Drosophila melanogaster: one gene and its partners. The protein of the gene in region 1 interacts with the protein of each later gene in a pairwise test. Each region holds a gene or a part of one and is shown in the gene's direction. Other genes may lie near its edges.

Region 1 (6,502 bases):
AGGATGGCACCCAGATACCCGGCAGTCTTCCGGCACAGAGTGTTCCGCAGATGATACTGTTGACCTTCGACGATGCCATCAATCACGATAACTGGGAGCTGTTCTCCAAGGTTTTGTTCACACAGCACAGGCGAAACCCCAACGGGTGTCCCATTAAGGGCACATTCTACGTTTCACATCCGTTTACCAACTATCAGTATGTGCAGAAGCTTTGGAACGATGGTCACGAGATCGCAGTGCACTCAGTAACGTAAGTTGTTGATCAGCCTGTAAATTATTTAAAATTGAAATTTCACTTTTATTGATTAAAGGCATCGTGGCCCAGAGATGTGGTGGTCCAAGAATGCCACAATTGAGGATTGGTTCGATGAGATGGTTGGCCAGGCGAATATAATCAATAAGTTCGCAGCGGTACGAATGGAGGAGATTCGTGGCATGAGAGTACCCTTTCTGCGCGTCGGCTGGAATCGACAGTTTCTCATGATGAAGGAGTTTGGCTTCGTGTACGATTCATCCATGGTTGCGCCGCATTCGAATCCTCCTCTGTGGCCCTACACCTTGGACTACAAGATGCCGCACAGCTGCACGGGCGTAAATCAGAATTGCCCGTCTAGGAGTTATCCGGGCATTTGGGAGCTGGTTATGAACCAACTGGAAGTGGGCGAGTATATGTGCGGCATGGTGGACACGTGTCCGCCGCATTTGAGCGGCGAGGATGTGTACAGAATGCTCACGCACAACTTCAAGAGGCACTACCTCAGCAATAGGGCACCATTTGGCCTGTATTTCCATTCGACTTGGTTCAAGAAAGTCGACTATCTGAATGCATTTCTGGTGAATATTCGAATTGTTACCCATAATACTAGATCTTCATTCCTTCCTGATCATTTAGAAATTCCTCGACGATCTGCAAAAGCTGCCGGATGTGTTCTTCGTGACTAACCAGCAGGCGATTCAGTGGATGCGCCATCCCACGCCCAGCAACCAGCTGCACCAATTCGAGTCCTGGCACTGCCAACCGAAGGACTTGGATCCCCACGAGCAGGTCTGCAACACGCCGAATGTGTGCAAGGTGCGTAGTCGGGTGCTGCAAGAGGATCGATTCTTCTACACTTGCATGGAGTGTCCTGCCCAGTATCCCTGGATTCGCAACGAGTTCGGCTTGGACTAAGGTGATAGCCCGCTTGACACTATAGGGCTCTGCGCAAGGCGCTTTGATATATCCATAATGTTTGGAGCGTTCCATAAGTAATTGGATAAGATTGATACAATTTTAGGTTTTAATTGTTTAGAAAAATTAATATTTATAAATTGGATTACGCATATTTAGATGATTCAGCTTTCAAAATCTGACCGTAAGCAAACCCGTAGATAACTTCGTAACATACCTGAAGAGGATAAAGTGCATTAATTTAAAATCGGAACACTCTGAATTTTATGGAGAAGCTTAAACAATTTCGCGGGCTCATAAACGTGGTACTTTGCGGCCTGATTAGATTTTAAGAACTAATTTATACGTATGTATGTCTCCGCTAAATATATTTAAACCGATTTCCAAAAGAGCTTTGTACTTAGTCTACATTCTGGAACGCATCCCAGCCACAAAACCTTGGACTATTGCGTTATAAACGGATTGGCGATGCTCTCGACTCCGTCTTGCGGACAAATGAGGACGAGGGCTGTGCCGCGACAGACGACCAGTCCCAGGCTGCGGGTCTGCTCCTCGGTCAGTTTGTAGGGCTCATCCGAGTCGCGCAGATACTCCACCGTGTTGTCCAGCACCAGATTGAGCAGCGCATCGTAGCCCTTGAGGATTCCGGATGCCTCGCGGCCGCCCGCGAATTTCACGCGGATCTGTTTCTCCAAGTACTTGGAGAGGTCCAGAATGGACTCCTTGCGGCGCTTCTCCTTACCGTCATTGTTGCCACCCACCTGACAAGTCACGATTTTGATGATTAAGCACCACAATGTAGTTATTCTATTTAATTTACCTTTTTATCTGCCATTATTCTGTTTTTGGTAAATGCCGGCTGGTAAAGAGTGACCAAAGCATATTTTTTTAGAAATACACCAAATAAGGCGCTACTAGCCAGCAGATGGCGCTGGTGAAGTAATCTTATGGGCCGCGCTTTTTGAGGTACATAATCGATAATAATGGAATAAACATATGTAAGAATTAATGTTATTTGAAAAATATGACAACAAAGTTCTCTTATTTCTACTGTCATCATTGTGAAATTATTTTCTTACCTTTTGCTATTGAGGCGAACATATCAATTTATTTGTATAATAATTATTATATTGGTTTAAGATATCGATAAGATTCATTTATTTGTATCGATATGCTGGTCACTCTGACTGGCTCTCCATTTTGTTTTCCACGACAGAGCAATTTTTAGTACAACAGATTGTTATCTTCTACCAATTACCGGATCGATTTTGTACATTTAAGTGTTTTAAAGCCACCTTAGGATCATGGGACGCAAGAAGAAGAAGGCCTCCAAACCCTGGTGCTGGTATCCTTTTCGCAAAACAAAGATATAAATATTTTTTCACTGCATGTGCCGCTCGCTGTATCTGCACATACACACACATTTATATAATGGTATTGGGTTGGGGGTAGATACACACACACATGTATATGCATACTGGCTACAACGCCGCATCCCCGTGAATTTTCCTTAACTCTTAACGCAAAAAACTAGGTACTGCAACCGTGAGTTCGATGACGAAAAGATCCTTGTGCAGCACCAGAAGGCCAAGCACTTCAAATGCCACATCTGCCACAAGAAGTTGTACACCGGACCCGGACTATCCATACACTGCATGCAGGTGCACAAGGAAACGGTGGACAAGGTCCCCAACTCGCTGCCCAATCGCTCAAATATTGAAGTCGAAATCTTTGGCATGGACGGCATTCCCGCCGAGGATCTCAGGGATCACGAACGTCAGAAGAATGGTGGCAAGTCTGATTCGGACGATGATGAACCGGTGGCCAAAAAGAAAGTAGAATGTAAGTGATCAGCAAACTGTATTGTATACAAAATCGCTATACAACATTCATTGCAGATGCCATGAGTGTACCGCCGCCTATGATGATGCCCCCGAACATGATGCCACCGCACATGCTGGGGCAGTACGGCATGGGCATGATGCAGCACATGCCGCCACTGCCTCCGTATCCAGTGCCCATGATGCCGCACATGATGCCTCCGCGTCCTTTGTTTCCAGCCGCCATGGCCACAACATCGGCGGCAGCTGCTGCGGCGGCGGCCCATCATCACCACGCCGCCGCCATGGCTCAACAAAAGCCAACATTTCCAGCGTACAGGTTAGCATCGTTAGGGGAAGACCATATAAGAATCCTTCCAATTTTTTTTTCTAAAGCTAGCAGTTAGACGTAGAGCCCTGTTAATAATCTTTTTTTTTTAAACGATTCGTATGTAAATTCAGTTTTGGGGGTATTTTAGGTGAAATACTTTCTACTCCAAATAATTGTTCACATTGGCACATTTTTAATGGTTTTCCCCTATTAAACATAGTTGTGAAGCAAGTCAAATGACTTATTATTAGGCTTAATCCTAAGAATTTGTTTTTAACTAACGTAAATCAATTATTTCTTCTTTTTGCTAAAGTAATGCTACCATAAGTGCTCCGCCTACCACCAATCATGCTGGTGGCGCATCCAGCGCACCACCAAGTGGTCCGCCAGATGCTCAGCAACACCAGCAGCGACCTCCAGCTCCACCGGCGGCAAGCGGAACTTCCGCTGCTGCTGTGACCACAAAGATTATGCATCCACAGGAGGACCTGAGTCTGGAAGAATTGCGCGCGCGCCAACCGAAAATACAAGCACGGTTGGCGGCCGCTTTGGCTTCACTGGCGAATCCACAAAGTCGCAAGAGTCCCAGCAACAATGGTGGCCCCTCTACGTCGATTCCCACCACTCCGCCGCCCCCGTCGCTGGCCGGGATCTCGCCCACGGGTAGCAATAGCAGCAGTGGCATGGCTAACTCGATTGTCGTCTCCGCAGCCATGTCGAAGGCCCAGGAAGTGAGTTCTTATCATAGTTATAGAAACCATAGTCAATATAAATAAACAGACCGTGACGGAAACGACTTCCACTGATTAACAGGAAATGACAAGCACAACGGACTGAAACGAGGACGTGTAAAAAAGACAATTTCCTCCAAAAAAAGAAAAATAATGAAAGAATAAATGTAATTGCACATAAAAAAACCTGACCCAATTTCGACTGCATTTTAAGAGAATGCATTCAGCATTCTAACAGAATTCCATTTTTCCAAACTGGACACTTTTATACATTTACTCTGCGCAGATCGCAAATTGCGACAGCGGAAGTTACGTTTAGACGACCACAGCGTACGAGAGCAAACAGATTACGAGAATCACACAATACGAAACAACATTAAAAAGAAAAGAAAACTTTTTTTAGCATATAGTATGATATATGTCTGTACAATTTTTAATTAAAAAAAATTAATGGCAACAAAACAAATGAAACGGCGGTTTTCAATTTAATTAATTTGATTTAAAACATTTTACCTCAACACATAGAGAACTCGATAGAAGGGAAAAGCAAGGTTTCGCATTGTCTTGGCCCTAAAAGTAATCTCCATCAATGTGATATGCCAACACATGTGCTAGTTTTGTATCTTAAAGGTAAAGCGGAAGCAGCTGAAATGCAATTCACATGCCCACTGATAAATAGTGAAATTCTTTATAGCGGGTGGGCTGATTTAATTGGATCATAGGGGCAGGTTTGAAGCCAGCTTGCTTAGTATGTTTTAGAAATCTATGTAGTCGGTTCCATACACGCTTAGGAAGCGTTTTTTACATCAAGCGCAGGCTAAAAACTCATTTTTAAATAGGGAATCTTAAATTAGATGATTACTTTAATTCTTGATATGATCTAGTAATTTTTGTTCGTCAATTTTTGTTACTTCAGCAGCTTACAATCTGCAATTCTATTTTTTCATTTGGGGTTCAGCCCCGTTTTTTTGAAACCCTTAAGCAAATTTTTTTGTTACCACGATAGGTACATAGAGACCTGACTCAGTCAGGATACATTTTTTTTGGGTTGACCCCGAAACTACACCCTCCCAGTGGCAAGTGAGATAAATTCAATCGATTCCAAACATTTTCTTACAGAACGCCGCTCTAGTTGCCGTGGCACAGGCGCAGGCACACGCACACGCACATGCTGCCCAGGTGCAGGCCCAAGCGCAAGCCCAGGCCGTGGTCCAAGCTCAGGTGCAAGCCGCGCATGTGGCACACGCTGTGGCAGCACAGCAGCAGGCAGTACAGCAGCAACAGGCGGCTCAGCAGCAACAGCAAGCCGCTGTGCAACAGCAGGCGGCGGTGCAGCAGCAGCAACAACAACAACAGGCGGCGGTGCAGCAGCAGCAGGCGGCGCAGCAGCAGGTCAAACAACTGGAGGAACTGAATCGGGCTGTGATGCTCCAGCGCTTTCAGGCTGCCCGACAGCCTGGGAATCCCGGTGCGGCAGCAGCGGCTGCGGCGGCCGCAGCCGTCGGCATGGTAAGTCTCTAATCATGCGGTGCTGCGTATGCCACGCGAGCAATCAAACCAAAGAATGAACTTGCCTTAACAATACCGAAATTCCGAAATTGCTGAGAATCTCAATCTGTAAAAGACCACAATACAAATACCGATCTTGTGTCCTAGAATGGTATCATAAAGCCAACGACAGCATTTTCGAGTGGGTTAACCCAATAAATAAAGCTTCGCCCTCATCATCATGGTTGGTCACCTATTAGCTAATGTTTACGCGATTAGTTGGGGGTTCTAAATTTACAATGATCCTATAGCGAGATAATCTATGGTTAACCGAAACGCACACTCATAAGACTAATCTGAAAATTTATGTTAAAACCGTCAACGGATACATTAAAAAAATGTGTGTATTTGTAAAAAAATATAACTTTTTTTTTTTAATTTTATAAAGGATTTAGTTTGTTAAAAAATTAAAATATTTAGGAGCTGATAGGAAAAAGAAATTTGCACTTCTTTAAAACAAATTAACGTTTTCATCAGTGTAAAAACAATCACTTGGCTAACTACAACCGCTTACCAACACTACCGCTTAAAGTTCCCTTTTCTTTTCGAACCCATTACTTTTGCCCAGCTTAGAAACAAGGAAGATCAACAGTCTCAACTACGTCTTTACGCCATATGTATAAATCTAAAAACCCTATTAAGCTTGTAAACTGGAAAAATATGTTAAAGTTACCGTTACAATTGCAGTACAGAGCAGAAGTTCAGTGTTGATAAACGATAAGTGTTGCAAAAGTGTTGCGCAGGGTCCAAAAAGAGTTACAGTATGTATGGTTTTTGTACAAGCAAGTTTATCTCTTCCCCCAAAACCCAACCTAATCACTCCCTCAATAAAACTCACACCCCGCAAAATGATATGTGATATACAAAGTGCGCAATGCAACCAGATAAGTAAAAGCCAAAA
Region 2 (5,957 bases), on another chromosome or scaffold:
GCTCAATTAATACACGAGCAATAATAAAGCTATTAGGTGGGGAAATGCTGGCATTATGTACATTTCTAATTATATAAATTATGTAAGCACATATTTATATGTGATCTGCTTGTGGAACTGCGATAATTTGCGGCAACTTGATTATTTATAGCGTGTAATTTAACGGGCTGATTGAATTTCTGTAGATATTCAAAACTCGTTAATGGTTAATCAAAAGTGCTACCGTGGCCATATTCATATGTCCACTTAAATTAAAATACACAATTTCATTACAGTGCGCACCAGGCCACGCCCACCCCCGACCACTGTACTCCAGCGATGGCCAATCGCGTCCTAGGTTTCCCATTTGTATAGACAAGCGGCTGAGCGAGATGGAGCGATAGCGTCGGCGTAGTGCCATCCCGCTTTGCCGCCACATGGCTCTCACCCCATTCTCCACTCGGAGTTCCATGCCACATACCACATACTACATCCCATACCCATGTCCATGTCCAAGTCCAAGGCGATTCTCTCTCTGCGGGCCATATCGCTGTTAACCTTCGCTCGCCGAGCACCTAATTATCGCTATGAACGGCACAATTATGGCCCAATGCGATTGTTGTTTATAAACAGATAAATAAATTCATAATTAACTAGGGCGTGCGTTGTTGGAAATATATTTTTTTCACATTTTATTATCCATTTTTAAAGATATTAATTGGCATGGGTGTGCTATTCTGGGTTTTTTGAAATTATTACAAATATATGGAACACTTTCTATCTAACAATAAATGAAGATAGTTATAATAATAGTATTATGTGTACTTTATGCTAATTTCTGAGCCCATCTTCGCTATTCCTCAGAACTGGCAACAAAAAGCAGGCCAATAGTTCATGTGATTAAAATTCAATTATACCACTGAGCAGCTATTTGCCACTGCTTAACTACTCATTTGCCTTCGTGTTAGTCAGATATCATTAATTTACACTTGGTGAAGAACAGGAAGAATGCAGACTCATTAATAGCTAATGCGATTTAATACACCCATCCGCGGGATTGCGATTTGCTGCTCTATCGGGCGCACTATTAAAGACAATTATCCATCCTAGTGTTAAATCGAGTCTCGCCAAATCGCGCTGCTGCCCCATCAGCCCCATGAGCTCCATAATCCACTGATGGCCCATACCCATGCCCATACCCATACCCATACTGATGCCCACACCGAAACACAGAAAACACTAAATACAAAACACAAAATACCAAATACAAAATACAGGCCCAAACCCACACGTTCGCTGAATGCGGTGGCAATGTGCTTTGGCTTTTACGTTCTGTGGAATCATGGCCGAGTCGCAAGCAGGCAAATTAACTAACAAGATTATGAAAACGTAAAATCAGTAAATCGGTAAAGTGGTTGTAATTTTCTTTTTCAACACCTCTCTCGCATTGGGCCGTTAGCCAGTCGCGGCCTGGCCAGAGTCCCAGTCCCATACCCATACCCACTTCCAGTCCCAGTCCCAGCCATGGCCAGAACCAGCTGCCGGGGCGGCTGCTCTTTTGTCCGGAGCAGCAGCAGCAGCAGCAGGAGCAGCACCAGCGCTGAGGCAGCGGCAGCGGTAATACCAAAGGCAAAGCTAAATAAAACCGACGAGATACTCCCCTCGTACACGGCGAGAAATCGTGTGCGCTTTCATTGAAGTGCATGCAAGAAAGCTTTTGAAAATTTATTCCTATGTTAATAACTTCAATTACAAACAGCGGCTAGTTGCATGCAGAAAAAGCTTACTTTTTACAACATCTTATTTATGGTACTGGTAGTAATAAACTTAAGCAATAAAACAGTCAAAAGTTTAACTAGCACAATAATAGATTTGTATTTGATTTATTATTATAATGGATTTCTGATTTGGGAAAGCCTAACCACCAATCTTTTAGATGAACCTTGCACGTGAAGTCCGAATTATATGATCCCCATATAAGGAAGGTATAAATAATAAATAAATAATTCGAAAAAAGAAAATCCTTTAAAAAGTTCTGACCTTTATCAGTATAGCAATCAATATGTTATAGGCCTCATAGCATAAGTATTTAGATAGCAGGACTCATACCTTTATTAAGAATATATGATGCAGCACTCGTAGATCTAAGGGATTGTCGAACTCATTCGCTCGTTTAAACTTCGAATAGGGGTATGGGTTTTTCGGCCAGTGTACCGCCTAGCCGCAACCACCGGCGGGTCAGGGATAGGGGTGGTGCAGGGGCAGGAGCTCTCCGCTGGAGCGGCGCAGTGCGGTCTGGTCAGACTGGTTTATTCGTTTAGTAAATCTCAGACTCTTTGCTTTGGCTCTCCTCGCCGCTTTGAAGTTTCGCCGTGGCGGAGGGATGATGCATGTTCGCATCGCGGTGATTGGGAGAGAGCACGGGGGCAATGATGTGAGTGATTATATTTTGATTGCATTGCTCACTGTGGTTGGTTGTACGTACGGACCGCGGAGGACTGCAGACCTGGACGACTGCAAAACTGGAGGACTGCAGAACTGCAGAACTGCAGAGCTGGAGAACTGGGGACGGCATTGCTCACTTAGTACAATAACCGGCACGTCGTCTGCCAGTCTGCTGAAACAGTAATTTTTTGTGTGCCGTGTTCTTCGTTTGTTGTCGTTTGTTTTGTTCCCGCTCTATCGCTATCTTCGCCCCAAGTTCGCCCCAAGTCCGCTCCAGCTTTATAGCCCACCACCACCATCACCACCGCCGCTCACGTATTCGCATTCAGCTTTTGATGGTAATTTGCCAGGCAGGCGGAGGGCGGCAGTTGGAGGGCGGCAGGGCGCACAGTCGGATGGGGAAACCTCAGTGAGAGTGCTTTTCCTTCCAGAGTGCCAGTGCCAGTGCCAGTGGCAGAGCAGAGCTGAGCTGCTCCAGTGGTAGTGGTGGTGGCGAAGCCAGTGTCGTCGCCGGAGCTTATAACGAGCGTAGTTCTTGCGCAGAGTTTATTGCCGACAGTTGGCGCGATCTTGTTTGCCGTCGCTTCTTGTCGCTATCTCGTCCATATCACACATCGCCATGCCGCATCGCCACCGTGCCCCAAATGGATGTTCCTCGCTAGCAAATCCACTAGCTGCTCCCGCTTATGTTCCTGCGACGGCACGCGGCATTGCTCCTCATTGCGCCGCATGCGTTTAGGATATTCATACGTTTGACGGACGAAAATAATACGAGTGATTAGCAAGTGCTTGAGTGCATTCATAAATCAAGTTAGCCTGCAAATATGTAACACTGTGATGTGCGGAACAAATTGAGCCGAAAACATTGTGTAATAATGCCCCGGCCCTCGCGAGAATCCTACGGCGAACAGAAGCCCCCCTATTCGTACATTTCGCTAACGGCCATGGCCATCTGGAGTTCGCCGGAGAAAATGTTGCCGCTCAGCGATATCTACAAGTTTATCACGGACCGATTTCCGTACTACCGCAAGAACACCCAGCGCTGGCAAAATTCGCTGAGGCACAATCTCAGCTTCAACGATTGCTTCATCAAGGTGCCCCGACGGCCGGATAGACCCGGCAAGGGAGCCTACTGGGCACTGCATCCGCAGGCCTTTGATATGTTCGAAAACGGCAGCCTGCTCCGGCGGAGGAAGCGCTTCAAGCTGCACAAGAACGACAAGGATCTGCTCAACGAGGAGCTGACTGCCCTGGCGAACCTCAATAGATTCTTCTTTACCACCCGTAACGGAGGCAGTGCAGCGCACATGTCGCCGCTGGATATGAACAATGCGGCCGCCATGAGACTGGATCCACTGCCCAGGAGCACGGCGCACATGCCAAACTCCCTGGGTCCAGGTGTGCCACTGCCGCACGTAATGCCCGCCTCCATGTCCGGTGCGGATCACACGAATCTGGCGGACATGGGACTGACCAATCTGCCCGCGCTAACCAGTTCCGAGATCGAGGGACCGCTGAGCCTGCGACCCAAGCGATCCTTCACGATAGAGAGCCTGATCACGCCCGACAAGCCGGAACATCCGTCGGAGGACGAGGACGACGAGGATGACCGCGTCGATATCGATGTGGTCGAGTGCAGCGGTATCAGCCGCTATCCCACAACGCCCGCCGCCTCCGAGGAGTATATGTCCGCCAGCCGATCGAGCCGAACGGAGGATCCCCTGCCGCCGATGCACACGATCAACGCCGGTGCCCACGTGCCGTTTCTGCACTATGCCACGGGTGCCAATGTGGCCGGACTGCCAGCGTCGGGAATACCCAATAGCCCCACCACCTACGAGCTGGCCATCTCGCATCCGCTCTTCATGATGGCGGCGCCCATTGCCAACATGCACAACATATACTACAATAATGTTACCCTCGTCGCTCCGGCGCAGCAATATCGGAGCCCCGAGGTGCAGAATAGAATAGACAACGATATGCGTACGATATAGATAAGTGGCAACAAGCAGGGTAGTAACGAAACACACCTATGTACTATATAGCATTATTTATGAACGATATATGTATATGTATATTTATGTATGTATATCCATCCAAACGTAGTTCCTTTTGTATTAAGATTAATTGTAATAGGACCAAAACATATGGTATACATTCATAGGCGTAGAAAGGCTTGTAAATACAATTTTATTAGCTTGTATCACATATCCGTATTAGTAAATTATTTATTTTATTTTTATCGAACCTAGTGCATAGATCGATCCTTTTGTGAAGAATATAAACATTTAAACAACTTAAAGAAGTGTTTAGAAAAATCGAGCGGAAACAGTGAAATGTAGTGAACGTAAGTAAAGTTTAGTTATCTAGCTTTTTTTTCAACTTTAAGATCTTCACCCAGCTTTATAAATGAAATCCAGTCTATATACATTTTTAGCCCCAAAAAGTATTTCAGTTATGGCTTCGAGTTTGTTTGACTTATTCAATTATAATCACATTAAAACGATTTTATATTTTATAAAAGCGGTTCTTAATTGAATTCTAGAATATCACAATTTTTTTTATTAAATTTCGAAAATCGTGTCTTTTCAAACAGGCTTAAGCTTCTTTGGTTAAATCTGTAGTTTTTCACAAAAGCCATTGAGATTATAAATATTTTGGAAATATTCCAAATCTTTAGAAAGTTTTTAGCAATGTCCTTATTCAAAAAACGGGGTTCTTCTTGTTACAAAAGTAAGTGTTATATATTTTTCTGTCTTTTAAAAAGGAAGTAACATCATTTAAGATTTGGTTATATTTTAATCGAAACATAAAACGAAATTTTTCTGAGAAATGCTTTTTATCCCGCTTGTCCCTTAACTTTTACTAACTTTAAAACTTTTATAACTTTTTATTAACTTTTTTTTTAATAATGTGTTTGGAACGATCTAATTTAGCAAGTGATCCGTGATATCAAGATTTCCTTTTTAGCCTCTAAGAACCAGCAGATCCCCTAATTCTCAAAAAAATATCATTACTATTGCCTTTTTCGCCTTGTGATAATTTTGTGGAACGCGTCGGTCCTTCCTTTCTTGTTGAAATAAACACATGTCTGCATTTAACAAGCAGGACGCGTGAAATTTAAAACACTTTCAGGTTATTAACATGAAGGCAGCAATAATAATGAGGAGCGCAGGGAACGAGGCTAATGAATACAACAGCTGAGTTATTTGGCCATAAATACACACATGCACATAATCGCTTCGAGCCGTTTAGCGTTTCTTAGCCTCCTTATTAGCCATCCTTCTAGTCCTTCTCTTTCGCTCGCCACTCATATTCTTAGCAAAAACAAACCAGCAATTAATGATTTAAAGAAGTGAATAGCGAACAATTTTTTACTATTTAAAAAATGTATTAACTATTCTTCAACATGTGATTTTCCAATATGGATCTTATGAAAGAACTGAAAATGGTATAGTAAAATATATTAGGGATTGGAGCACAAATTCCATTCATACGAAACATTTTATTAATAATCGAGTAATCCAGGTTTT
Region 3 (6,070 bases), on another chromosome or scaffold:
CCAAATCCAACAAAAAAAAAAAATCGAATCGAAATAGCGAAAGACGTTTCACTGTGGCGGAAGTGAGATGAGTTGAGGTTCAGAGCGGGATGGCTGGAGGACAGCCAGCTGCCGGTCGTTTTGCATGTCCGTGTTGGGTTAAGTGGATTGTTTACTTTGATTACAAAAATATGGCAAATGTTTGCACGTTTGATGTCTCACTGCGTGTGTGTGTGTGTGTGTGTGTGTGTGTTCGTCGGTGTGCTTACGTGTGCATGTGTGTGGCGCAGACACATGCATTGGTTGGTAGTGGTGGTGGTGGGAGTGAGAGAGAGAATGAGCGATCTTGATTATATAGAATCTTAGATTGATTTCACAAAATATCCTATCTTATCAATCATTTTTCATGCATTTTTCTTAAGTTTGACTTTTTTCAAAAATGTGCTCAGTTCAGTTGTGTTTGAATACTTCAATTTATTCAAGATGAATCTTTTCACGCGGTCATCTCCATGGCAAACAATGCACACACACACACTCATATTTACATACAGAACGAAAGAAAGAGATGGAAAGGAGCGAATGAGACGGGGAGAAGTACATTCAGGCAGCGAGACAAATGGCGTTTGCCTTGGCGCGCTTGTAAAATCCGAAAGCTAACATTATTACAAAAAATCTGCAGTTATACATTTGACTTTGGTTTATTTTTGTGATTTGCCCAGTTTGCAGTTGACCAACCAACCGACCGACCATCGCAGGACTGCCTGTTTGGCTGAGTTTTTATTGTATTGAGGCTGCGGGAACCAGATGGAAAGGAACTGTTGATTGTGGGGCCAGTGTCGGCCGAAAAGATGGGATTGAAAGGGGGGGGGGGGGAGAGTTAGGAAATGGGATAGGTCAGGAGAGAGGAGACAGGATCCAGCTTCTTTTGTCCTTTAAATTGAATTGCCACCGAAGTTGCAGGGCAAAATAGTTGAACCGACATTAAACAATGGAAGAACGCGTTAAGTGGTTCTTACATACATACATTTAAAGTAAATTGTACCGGGAAAGTAATGGAGTCTCCTCCGCTGGCCAACGCCCATGGTCGGGCGGACCCACAGCCCATGTGGGTCACGTCATCGGAAAGGTCAAAGGCATTTATCAGGCCCACTTGGCACCCACTCCTATTTGCATTTCATGTTGAACTGTTTGCCCAGGCCAAAACTAATTTTGACATTCGAAGAGAAAAAAATGCGCGAGCAAAGCCGCCGCTTTTATTGGAAAAATTTGTATTTGTTTGGGCAATGGGCAATGGTAGAAATGGTAGCTGGTTTCTGCTTGCTGGTGGCAAATCGCAGCGGGGTCACACGCCCACAATGCCAAATAGTTTTCATTCTTAGCCGCTACTCCTCACCGCCGCTGGCTGCATTTTATTTTATTAATGGGAATTTGTTTGCCAGCGCAGGCGGATTGGATGGTTACGGGGCGCGGGGTGTAGGATGCGTCCAGGATGCGACCAGGATGCGACCAGGATGCCGCCTCGTCGCTATTATGGCAGCCATTTGTTTGCACGCGAGCATCCGAGTGCCGGAGCGTCGGAGTGCTGGAGTGCCCCACAGGGCGTATGCGCTATATTATTTTTCCCGCACTGCTGGCGGTCCTTGCCAGTGTGCCACGCCCACGCCTTAGTCCCCCCCCATCTTGGCAACGCCACTGAAAAGCGTCCAGCAACGACCACATGTCGCTCATGATTAATTGAAAGATTCTCTCAACTTCAACTGTTTTCGGGTTTTGCGTTCACCCAACCCCCCCCCTTTTAGAACTCACTTTTTTATTATTTCTATATTTTTCCTTTCGAGGTGCTTGTTGCTCTGTGTGCTTGTCCCAAGTGTTTTGATTAATGAACTATGCTGAGTGAAATTTAAACAAATTTCTTAGTACAATCCAAGCTGGCAAGCAATTAGTTTGGACCACTAAAGTTTTTAGAGTTTTTAAATAGATAGTGGCTTTTGGTACCTCTCTAAGCAGCTTAACTGTTACTCAATAATATATCAATATAATATTTATGATTGTGGATCAGGAAATACGCGCAATTAATTACATTAATTGTTTATTTATTTTTGTCTACTGTTTGCCACATGTACGAGTATATGTTTTTTTTTTTTAAATAAGGATTTCCATTCACCTAGAAACCATATCAATTAGTGTATTGCTATTTCCGCAGCTCTGGTGCAACTTTCACTCACTCATTTTAACTCTGTTCTGTGCATGTTACTCCCTCTCCCTCCCTCTCTCTCTCTCTCTCTCTTTCAACCTAGTAATAAGACTAATTGAGCGCACCTGCTCGTCGATGTTCCCGACATAAGTATTAGTTCTGCCAGCCACCTTGTCTAATCTGGGCCGCATTTTCCCGGCGATAAGACCATTTTCGATTGGTATAGACAGTGCTTACGATGCCGCAAGTCAGTGTTTCAATGGCCGGGGAATATATCATACTGGAGAACTCGTCGACTTATCCGGGCTTCCATTCCAGTTCCAACGGATTGGCGAATGGCATGTACCGCTCCGCCCAGCGCATCTCCACCGATCGCCTGGTCCTGCTCATTCTGCTGGTGAGCACCACGGTGATCGGGCTGTTTGCCTACTGGGATGTAATGGTGCTCAACGCCGGCGCACTGCCACTGTCCAGAGGCACTAGCTCTGTTGATTACATGGAGCCTGGACTGCGCAACGAAACCCTGGCCGAGAAGATGCATCGGGAGGTGAGAGTCCTGTGCTGGGTGCTCACCACACCCAAATACCACAAGACCCGGGCCATTCACGTTTTGCGAACGTGGGGCAAACGCTGCAATAAGATCTACTTCATGACCTCTGAGCCGGATGACGAGCTGCCCACCGTTGTGCTGACCAAGCCGGACCGATACGAGATGCTGTGGGGCAAGACCAAAGAGGCCTTTGTCCACATCCACGAGCAGATGCGCCACGAGGCGGATTGGTTCATAAAGGCGGACGACGACACGTATGTGAAAGATTCAGATTCTTAAATAGGGAAAGAGTGGCATTTTATTGCAGGAATTGATAAGTGAATGGATGGTTGTTTTCGTCACCACAGATACACGTACATATGTATATATGTATGTATGTATTTATTGAACATTATTATCATTCTGTTTTACCTTTGTGGTGTAACTACTGATGGTATCTCAATGTTAGGGCCACAGCCAAAACAGTTGAATGAAGAATAATTAGGAACCGATAAAGAAAAGATAGCATTATTAAAGTTTGACTGAACTTTCAATCTGCTCCTATCAATAGCTACCTCTTTTTGGAAAATCTGCGCTACATGCTCTACCCGTATTCACCGGAGACACCTATTTATTTTGGATTTAATTACAAGATGGTCGGCACTCACCAGAAGAACGAGGTGAGTTTATCTTCTGTCCGGTTCGGATTACATTACAAACTCACTGAATATGAATCCGATTCAATAGTCATACATGTCCGGCGGCAGTGGCTACGTACTGAGCCGCGAGGCTCTTAGGATCTTCGCCGAGGGCGTCAACGACACCACCAAGTGTCGCCAGGAGGACGATCACGCCGAGGACGTCGAGATGGGCAAGTGCCTGTTCAACCTGGGCGTGAAGGCGGGTGATTCCAGGGACGAGCAGCTGCGCAACCGCTTCTATCCCATAGCTCCTTATGGAGCCCTTCTCTCGGGCAACGTTGGCATGGACTTTTGGTTGTACAAGTACGCCTACTACAATCCGAGATCGGTGAGTTTGGATGCATTTAGCACCCTACTAAAAGTACGTTTGTATGTATGTAGATATATGAATGAATGCACAGCTTACCCATCCAGTACCTTTTAACAATCCAGCAAAATAGAAAATAAACTCAAGTGTCACAAAGACAACGCCATATTTTGCCAAGCACTCATATTATTTAGTCGAACGTAATCATCATTCTTCGTTACCAGAAAGGTGGTGGTAAGGTGCGTTCGTCACTGGCTTATAACCGCGTGAGGAGGCATTTTATCTTTGATATTCAAGCCTCAACGTATAGTTTTTCCACCTTCGTATTCGCATTCCTTGTCCTCTTTTGATTATTATCTAAACTATCTTCGTATTCTTGCAGTGCATGGACTGCCTGTCGGAGTACCCGGTGGCCTTTCACTATGTGCACAGCAAGCAGCTGTACGTGTACGACTACTTCAACTACCAGTTCCAGCTCTCCGGAAGGGCGCAGGTGGCGGAACGGCTGCCCAAGAAGATCCGGGAGGAGGAGCTGGTCATCCCCGAGAGCGACAATCCGGTGTCCTAGGCAGGAGCCAGCCATTCTGCCACTTCAGCAGCAGCAATCTCAAGTCCATATCTACATATTTTCCATCCTTTTTTTTTTGTGTGTGCTTATCGTGTATTTAATATATTATGGGCACAAGGCGAACGTGCCAAGGCTGCCAGATGCTGTCCTGTTGCGACTCCTTGTCCTTGCCCGATCCACGTCCTAGTTTATCTATTCATGTATTTATTATTGAGCAGCTCGTGGCAGACGGGCCACACGAAGGCATTAAAAGGATAATGGAGGGCTACTGGGTGGACATTTACTCTTGATTTCCAATGAGGATTTCAAAAAGTTGCATATCTAGAAAAATGAATTAGTCGCAACTATAATGGTATGGCTGCACTATTAACATTGTAAGTGTACGTACGAAATGACTGCAATCTCTGATCTGTTGAATGGTACAAATTAGAGTTGCCAGCTTGAACTTTGTTATGCCATAATAATCTTAAACTCTATAAATGATTGGCTTTACAACATATGTACGCAAGGAAAATAAACAGTTTTCTTTAGAAGCCTAAGGCGTATGAAATGGTTATACTTCTTGTACAGTTTTCAACAATCTACAATGAGTAAATGAAATAATAATGGCCACGTGGCGTTGAGTGGCTTAACTTACCGCAACTTGTTTCAAACCCTGGTAACACCTTTTAACGTCATTGTGCAACACTAGTACTAGAAATCGAAAAGCAAGTACATATTTGTTACTTTAAGGCAAATGATCAAAAGAGTGATTTTACTACTGCTGACATTAAATATGTGGATTATTATATAAAACACTCGATTCGAAAAATCGAATTACTTAACTTTTAATACTGGAAATAAAAATGATCATAGAGCATATTATTTATAACAGAATGTGTATAGTTTTTTTTAAATTATTTTAGCATTGTATTGAGTACAGTCAAGTGTTCTTTGCAAAAGCTCTGTTCCTATTCGAATTTTTTTTTACACATGCGGGCACACTAATTGGTATTTAAGTATGCCCAGACTTTTAGATCCAGTTAATCAGCTATTCGTTGAATGATTCTCACTTTATCCTTTACTTTCTACACGATTCAAGTGAGCTATTGCGAAATAAATTAAAAAACCAACTTTTCAATCTTCTGGGAATATTGAATACTGAGGAAAACCCTAAATTGATTGCTGCCGAAACCCAGAAGGATGGAGAACATGAACAAAGAACTCGCGAATATGGAGAAACTATCTTTGAAGGAGCTGCTCAGTGAGGACACACTCTCTGAATTGGCTACCCCGAATGATGTCGACATTGCCGGCGAGGAAAAGAACCTCGAGGGTCAATCTGTTTCGAAGGAAGATCCACCGCCTGCGGCAGTTGTACCCAAAGCGACCAAAGCGCCCAATAATCCCGAAGCGCTAACCCAAAAGCAGAGTATGGACTATGCGGCACGGATCGTGAAGGTCATCAACCTACAGATGCAAAATGTGGTGCATAAAACGTTCATGATGATGCAATCACCACTCCCTCTCCGGAACAGGCTACCAGTGGTCGTGTCCACCATGATCCGCTCCCGTAGGGCACCCAAGTTGAAGCTCAAAGATGTGAGGAGAGTGATCACGGGCCTGGCGCTGCATCGTGCACACCTGGTCTACGAATATATTATCAACCACCCCGAATAAGAAAACTTCTACATATGTTAACTTAATACAATAATTAAAAAATCCAAACACTCGCCGGCTCTAGTTTAGTTTAAAGTTCTATAGAACAAGGTTCATCGCACGCATACTACAATATATTACTGATGAATATTCA
Region 4 (6,440 bases), on another chromosome or scaffold:
TCAGGTCCTGCCTAGTGGGTCCTTGTACACACATTCCTCAAGGAGGCGGAGGGTGCGACTAACGAAGCGCAACAATTTCGTCGTTCGTGGGCCGCATAAAGCGCATCTTGGCCGGAATCGCCTTCAAGTCTGTTGGCTGGAAAAGCAGATTACCATGCGCTAGGAGCCGTGTGCCAGACGAGTGGTTTCGTCAACACCCTAAGAAAGGATGGGCACTGGGAAAAATAAGCTCTAAGATGCATATTTTAAGATGCTTTGATAGCCATAACATTTAACTCAAGATGTCGAATATGTGAAGTATAATAATTATCGGATAAAACATTTATAGTATAGTCATAGTTTATTTAATACCATAGCTAGGACTCGCAACATTTTCTCTCAGTGCAACCTGGGTGGGGTGGAAAGGGGCATACTTAGGGCTTCTACTTAGGTGCCGGGCGTAGGGCGAGCCCAATTTTTTTTTATAATTAGTGCAGTCGAATTCCACAGATGGTCTATACGTTACTTTGGCATTAATATTTACATACCGCCGTTCATTTTCAAGGAATGCCCGAAGAGGTCCTTATGGCCTGTCACTCCGCGAGATGGATGGACAGATATTTGGAGCGGTGGGCACTTCTTGGTTTTCCTCAAAAAATTCGAAATAGTTTAAACAGGGAAACCATAGAAAAAAGGTTGCATCTGTTTCGAGTGGGGCACAGGAAGTGGGTTCAACGAAGGACCCCGGGGGATACCATAGTAAACCGAATGAAAATTCCAATGAAAAGTATATATAATTTTTAAGGACTGCAGCCGCTGCAGAAGCGACGCTAAGCTCGTCTGAGGCAGACAAATTGTCTGTTGTCGCTGGCTAATTAAAAGGTTAAGAACTTTGTAATTTAAGTGTCTGATTATGCAAAGCCCGAGCTCCCCGTTCAGCTAACCGAAGCTCCACTTTAATTAATTAGTTTTGTGTGTGTTGCACTGACTGGGAATGCGAACAGATTGTATATGTAAGTAAGTCGCTTCTCAAGATGTTCTAGGGATTTTATGGTGGGTCATCTTGAACGCATTGTTTGAAAGCATTTCAAGGATTCTCTAAGGTTTTTACTTTAATCGAAGTAAGGTTAGTACTACATTTTAAAGTAGTATGTTACGAGTTATCTCTAGATAATGATTCTAGTTCTAATAGGTTCAATTAATAGCCAAACAAATGTTTTTACAAATATAAATATTGCTATAGACTTCACATAGCTGGACCCCTTTGCGGGCATCAAAAAACCCTGGAAATCCATCCCAAAATCGTGTTCATTTCATACTGGGAGTGTGGCATATGACACATCCAGCTGTCAATCAAACCCAACTCGGCAGGAGCTGCAATTAATCATCCAACGATTTGAGTTGCCGCACTCATATCCGACCTCTGTGATCTGAAAAGTAAACCACTTATTCATGGCCAGTGGAGAGCCGTCAGTGCAGAGAGACGAGGGCGACAGAAGTTAGTTTGTGCTGTTTATCTTGTACTAACTGAGTTAGGGCCAAGGACCAGCGACTGTTGCATCCCCTCAACCCGTTACCCCAACCAGCATAGTATATATGTTTACGGGAAAGTAGCGTACACCCCCCTTTGGCCATCCCGTCGCTGGCAATTTGTTCAAAATCAGAGCCAGCAACAAATGCAATGCAACAGCAATTAACTCGGCACAACTGCCACATTCTGGGCGCAAAATCCACCCCGTGTATCGTGAATGGGAGCCTCAGGCGGCCAAGAGCCAAGAGGCAAGAGCCGCGAGCCCCAAGCCGAAAAAGTTCCAAAAGGGCCAAAGAGCCATGAGCCAATTCTCAGGTATGGCTGGGGGTCCGGTGCCTCCACGTCGAAAGAAAGAGACCGAGTGGGAGAAGGTGGGGAAATGGAAAGAGAGAGGCGCAACAATTTTGAAATCGGGAGAAAGCAACAGCGGGGAATGTTTTGGCAATGAAACACTTCCTGATTGTTGCCTTTGCTCTAGGGCGCTGGCACACGATGCGATTTCTTAGAAGATATGTTAGAAAACTCTTTGTTTTTAAGGGTTTCACTGGTATTTTAGGCATGAAGGCCAGCACTAAGTTATGTTTTATTCTTTTGGCCGCTATTACCTTATGTTATTTCAGTGATTTAGGTTTCTTGAGCATATTCCATCGTGTGTACCAGCCCACAGGACGAGCAACAGCAATAGCAACAGCTATGCGCTTCCTTTCTGGGGGTTGGAACTTAGGGGCTGTGCCGCTCTCAGCGTTCCGCTCTCTGGCGCTCCAGTGCTCTCGCTCTTCCCTTCGGCTCGTTTCGGCTGCAAGGCGACGCGGTTCGGCTGGCTGTCGTTATGCTGGGGGTGGACCACCCTTATAAGCGGGCTCTCGGGCCGCAAGACTCTCATAAGCATTCAAGAGTTGCTTACGTTCGGTTCGTTCGCATTTCTTCTCTATCTTATATAATATTATATTTTCTCCTAAATCAATTTTTTCACTACCAACAACAACAACAATAATAACAACTCAACTATTCTCAACTCGCGTCAACCTTAACTTTCTCAAAAACAACAAACTACAACTCTACCACTACCAATCTGTCAACTTTCCGTTTTTAAACTGAAACTGCAAACCAAAACATTTATTTTCGTCTCGACGGCCATTGACAAAGTTTTGTTTTCCAAAAACCCGAGGAGAAAATTGCCAGCCCAAAAAGAGTTGAAAGGATACCCCAAAGATTCGTTCAAAAATCGTCCCCCCGTTATGTTTTGAGTTCAATTCCGTGTTGAAAACAAACGTGAACGTAAACGCAAATGTAAATGTAAAAATCGATAAGCCACACGCAGCCAGCCAACTGAACGCGAACGTGTCCGTGTGTGTTTCGTGGAGCGAGGGGATTGAACGGGGGGAACTGACCAAAAATCGGTGGCCCTGGCCAAAAACGCAAAAACTCCGGCCCAAAAAGAAAAAAAAAAATACAAGAAAAGCAAAGCAAAGCAAAGTAAAGCAGAGCAGAACAGAGCAGAGAGAGCGACTCGAAACTCCAGCCCAAATGACGGATACGGGTCTGACAACGAATCAAGCGCCGAAATGTGTGAAGTGGCTGTGAAACCCGAGGAATCCTAACTAAAAACCAAACCAATTTACAATAAAATGCAAATTACTAAGAATATTTAACCGAAACGCACCAGACCACACCACTCCACTCCACACACACAGACAGACACACGAGACACGGCAGAAATGCCAGGCCTGAAATTCAACAAGCTGTACGACTAAAACTTTAAGAGATCTTTCGGCGAGCCAAACTCTATATACAATATATATATATATATATATATATATTAATATATATATTTTCCCATGCGAGATAACAACAGCAACGTTTCCTTTCCGCTTTTGCCACAAATAATACCCCCTGAGACGGTCTTTGCTCGCTCGAAACTCGACACTAGCTTCAGCACTTAGCCCTCTAAGATCTACTAACTGGATCCTGATCAAGCTCCTAGCCAAAACTCCAACTCCAACTCCAAAACCTCTAATCTACAAAGAAAAAAAAAAACACAGAAAATGCCGCGCTGCCTGATAGCCAAGAAGTGGAAGGCCTATCCCTGGCTGGATCGGACGGAGGATACTAGCAACCAGCAACAGCAGCAGGAGCAGAGTGCCCCCAACTCGCCTCGCGAACTGGAGGAGCTGCATCTCAAGTCCAGACGCTCCACCCTGGACGACGACGAGGAGATCGATGTGGTGGGCGACAAATTCCTGATCAAATTGGAGAAGCAACGCACAACAGCAGATGCTGCCGCAGCAGCAGCAACATCATCCGAAGCAGCAACATCGCACAGCAGCAACAGCAGCAACATGGAGGCATCGGCGACGACGACGACGTCCAAGTGCTGGGGACCCAGTTCACCCACGGCGGGCACCACGGCTCCAAGTCCGCCTCCCCATTCGCCGGAGGCGGCGACGCGAGTGGCCGGCAATGTTTACAACGGTAAGTTAGCCCTCGGGAAAGTCGGGAAATCGGAAAACACTGCTCCAGCCAGTGAGGCGGGGGTGGTGGAAATCGAGATGGGGCGCACGTAATCGCTGTCATTGATGTGGCCATTGTGCGATTGCGAAACAATTCCGAATCAATTTAATTGCCTTTGTTGTCACTCAATATTGTTTGCAATTCCGGCCAGCGGGCCACAAAACGCAGAACGCACAGACCCTCGCCGACTTCCTACTGCCAACTTCCAGCTCGGTTTCCATTCCCTTTGGCGTGAAAACAATGGTACAGGCCAAAATTAAACCGTTTGCCTTCGTCCTTTTTGTTGAATGTGTGCCTGTCACTGTTTTCCACGTACAATTGCGAAATTAATTATTCAGTGGAAATTAGAAGCAAGGCAGACCTAAAAACCACTCACAATAGACATCCTTTCTATAGGTTTAGGCTTTAAAAGCTAAAAATAACTTACTACGAAACAGATTTAAAGTAATTGCACTAACCCATTTTTTAGCTGTGAGCTGTTGCTCTTCTGTGTACTTTTCTACTTCGCCAAAGTTCTTATTTTGCGGAGAAAATCCTTTGAGCAAACATAATATTTTCCAGCACATACAAAATAGTTATCTTAGCACAACTCCAGGCGTGGTCTTTGATATTTATGTTGACCTTTTAAAGTTTGCCCTTGGTTAAAAGAAATTATACGCATGTGTCAGTCCTTCATATTTAAATGAAAGCTATTGTTTAAAGTTTGTTAAAGAAAATATCTTAAGAATGGCAGAGGGTAAATGTTTTGGCAGCTTATAAAGAAAAGGAAACGGAAAAATTATAATCACAAAGAAATTATAAGTGCATGTCTAGGAAGTTTAAGCGAATCATATACTCTACATCCGACTACATTAAGTATATTTTCCGGCACAAAAACATTACAATGACTGAAACTCTTATTTCAAAAGAAAAAAGTGTAGCATACTTCAGGAACCATGATAAATGCTGCTGAATAAAACTTAACCCATGATTTAATTTTTTCTGCTTTTTACAGGCTACACCCGCGAACTTTCGCCGCTGCACTACACCGCGTACCTGCCCCGCATGGAGAGCGAGATAACCGTGATCCGTGCCGCGGCTACAGCTCTGGTGGCAGCCAGGACATCCGGAAACGGAAGTGGAGATCAGCACCTGGCCGCCTACCAAACGCCGCCCTCGTCCACCACGTCATCACCCTCTTGTTCGCCCAGCGGCGCCGGCGATCGGTACAGTCCGCTCTCGAGTGGACAGACCTCCAGTGAAAGGAAGTGCTTCAGCAGTACGGGAGCCACACTGTCGCTGCCGCCGAAGAAGAAGGACATCTACAGGCCGTATTCCTTGGACGACAAGCCGGCGCACGGCTATCGAAGAAGGGTACCGGCGGAGGAGGACCTGCATGCGGCACATGCTATCCTGGATCTGAGTGCGAGCACAGCCTTCCACCCGCCCACGCAACCTCACCAGTTGCAGCAGCAGCAACAGCAGCAGCAGCAGCAGCATCAGCATCACCACTCCCAGCAGCAACACCTTGCCCCGCAGCAACATCACTACTTGCCACTGCAGCAGCAACAGCAGCAGCAGGCACACCACACCCACTTGCCAACTCTCGAGGCGCATGCGCATCTGCGCAGCACGTCATCGATTGCCGAACTGGCTGCAGCGGCCAGTGTGGTAAATGAGCAACGCCCCGCCAGCAATGCCTCGAGTGCCAGCAGCAATCACATGCCCAGCAGTCCCAGCAGCAACTCGAGCAGCAGCAGCAGCCAGGTGCAGAACGAGAACAGCAACACCACCAACACGAACCCGGATGGGGATGGATGTCTTCAGGATGGCGAGCACAGTGGCGCCTCCGGAGCGTCGGCCAAAACGGTGGCCTACACCTACGAGGCCTTCTTCGTCAGCGATGGCCGTTCGAAGCGCAAACATGTGGCGGATCCTGCAGCTGCCGCCAGCGGAGTGCCCACTCCTGACCAGCAGAAGACCAAGTACACGTGCTCCGAGTGTGGCAAGCAGTATGCCACCTCCTCGAACCTGTCGCGCCACAAACAAACCCATCGCTCGCTGGACTCGCAGTCCGCCAAGAAGTGCCACACCTGTGGCAAGGCCTACGTTTCCATGCCCGCCCTGGCGATGCACTTGCTCACGCACAAGCTATCCCACAGTTGCGGCGTCTGTGGCAAGCTGTTCTCGAGGCCCTGGCTGCTCCAGGGTCACCTGAGATCGCACACGGGCGAGAAGCCCTATGGATGTGCGCACTGCGGCAAGGCCTTCGCCGATCGTTCCAATCTACGAGCACACATGCAGACCCATTCGGTGGACAAGAACTTCGAGTGCAAGCGGTGCCACAAGACCTTCGCCCTGAAGTCATACCTCAACAAGCATTTGGAATCGGCTTGCCTGAAGGACGAGGAGGAGCTGATGATGTCCATGTCGCTGTCGA

The links.
Region 2: the proteins of BuGZ (region 1) and fd96Ca interact in a two-hybrid assay, tested with the Drosophila melanogaster proteins (one large-scale study listed by BioGRID).
Region 3: the proteins of BuGZ (region 1) and tgy interact in a two-hybrid assay, tested with the Drosophila melanogaster proteins (one large-scale study listed by BioGRID).
Region 4: the proteins of BuGZ (region 1) and scrt interact in a two-hybrid assay, tested with the Drosophila melanogaster proteins (one large-scale study listed by BioGRID).

What each region holds. Positions count from the first base shown.
Region 1 is NT_033779.5:16,741,055-16,747,556, forward strand, and holds the start of BuGZ (Bub3 interacting GLEBS and zinc finger domain protein), read left to right. Parts: upstream 1-2,350; 5' UTR 2,351-2,475; coding exon 2,476-2,510; coding exon of another isoform or gene 2,511-2,516; intron 2,517-2,705; coding exon 2,706-3,013; intron 3,014-3,069; coding exon 3,070-3,331; intron 3,332-3,635; coding exon 3,636-4,053; coding exon of another isoform or gene 4,054-4,098; exon of another isoform or gene 4,099-4,511; intron 4,512-5,172; coding exon 5,173-5,562; coding exon of another isoform or gene 5,563-5,574; exon of another isoform or gene 5,575-6,502. Other genes in the region: ChLD3 (chitin and LDLR binding deacetylase 3), read left to right, coding at 1-250, 312-834, 893-1,171; LSm7 (uncharacterized protein), read right to left, coding at 1,615-1,932, 1,992-2,006.
Region 2 is NT_033777.3:25,080,253-25,086,209, forward strand, and holds fd96Ca (forkhead domain 96Ca), read left to right. Parts: upstream 1-2,431; 5' UTR 2,432-3,299; coding exon 3,300-4,418; 3' UTR 4,419-4,626; downstream 4,627-5,957. UniProt on the Drosophila melanogaster protein: Involved in development during embryogenesis.
Region 3 is NC_004354.4:19,123,667-19,129,736, reverse strand, and holds tgy (twiggy), read left to right. Parts: upstream 1-2,420; 5' UTR 2,421-2,432; coding exon 2,433-2,977; intron 2,978-3,273; coding exon 3,274-3,382; intron 3,383-3,449; coding exon 3,450-3,731; intron 3,732-4,092; coding exon 4,093-4,278; 3' UTR 4,279-4,734; downstream 4,735-6,070. Other genes in the region: CG15882 (uncharacterized protein), read left to right, coding at 5,461-5,937.
Region 4 is NT_037436.4:3,981,509-3,987,948, forward strand, and holds the start of scrt (scratch), read left to right. Parts: upstream 1-2,387; 5' UTR 2,388-3,555; coding exon 3,556-3,982; intron 3,983-5,015; coding exon 5,016-6,440.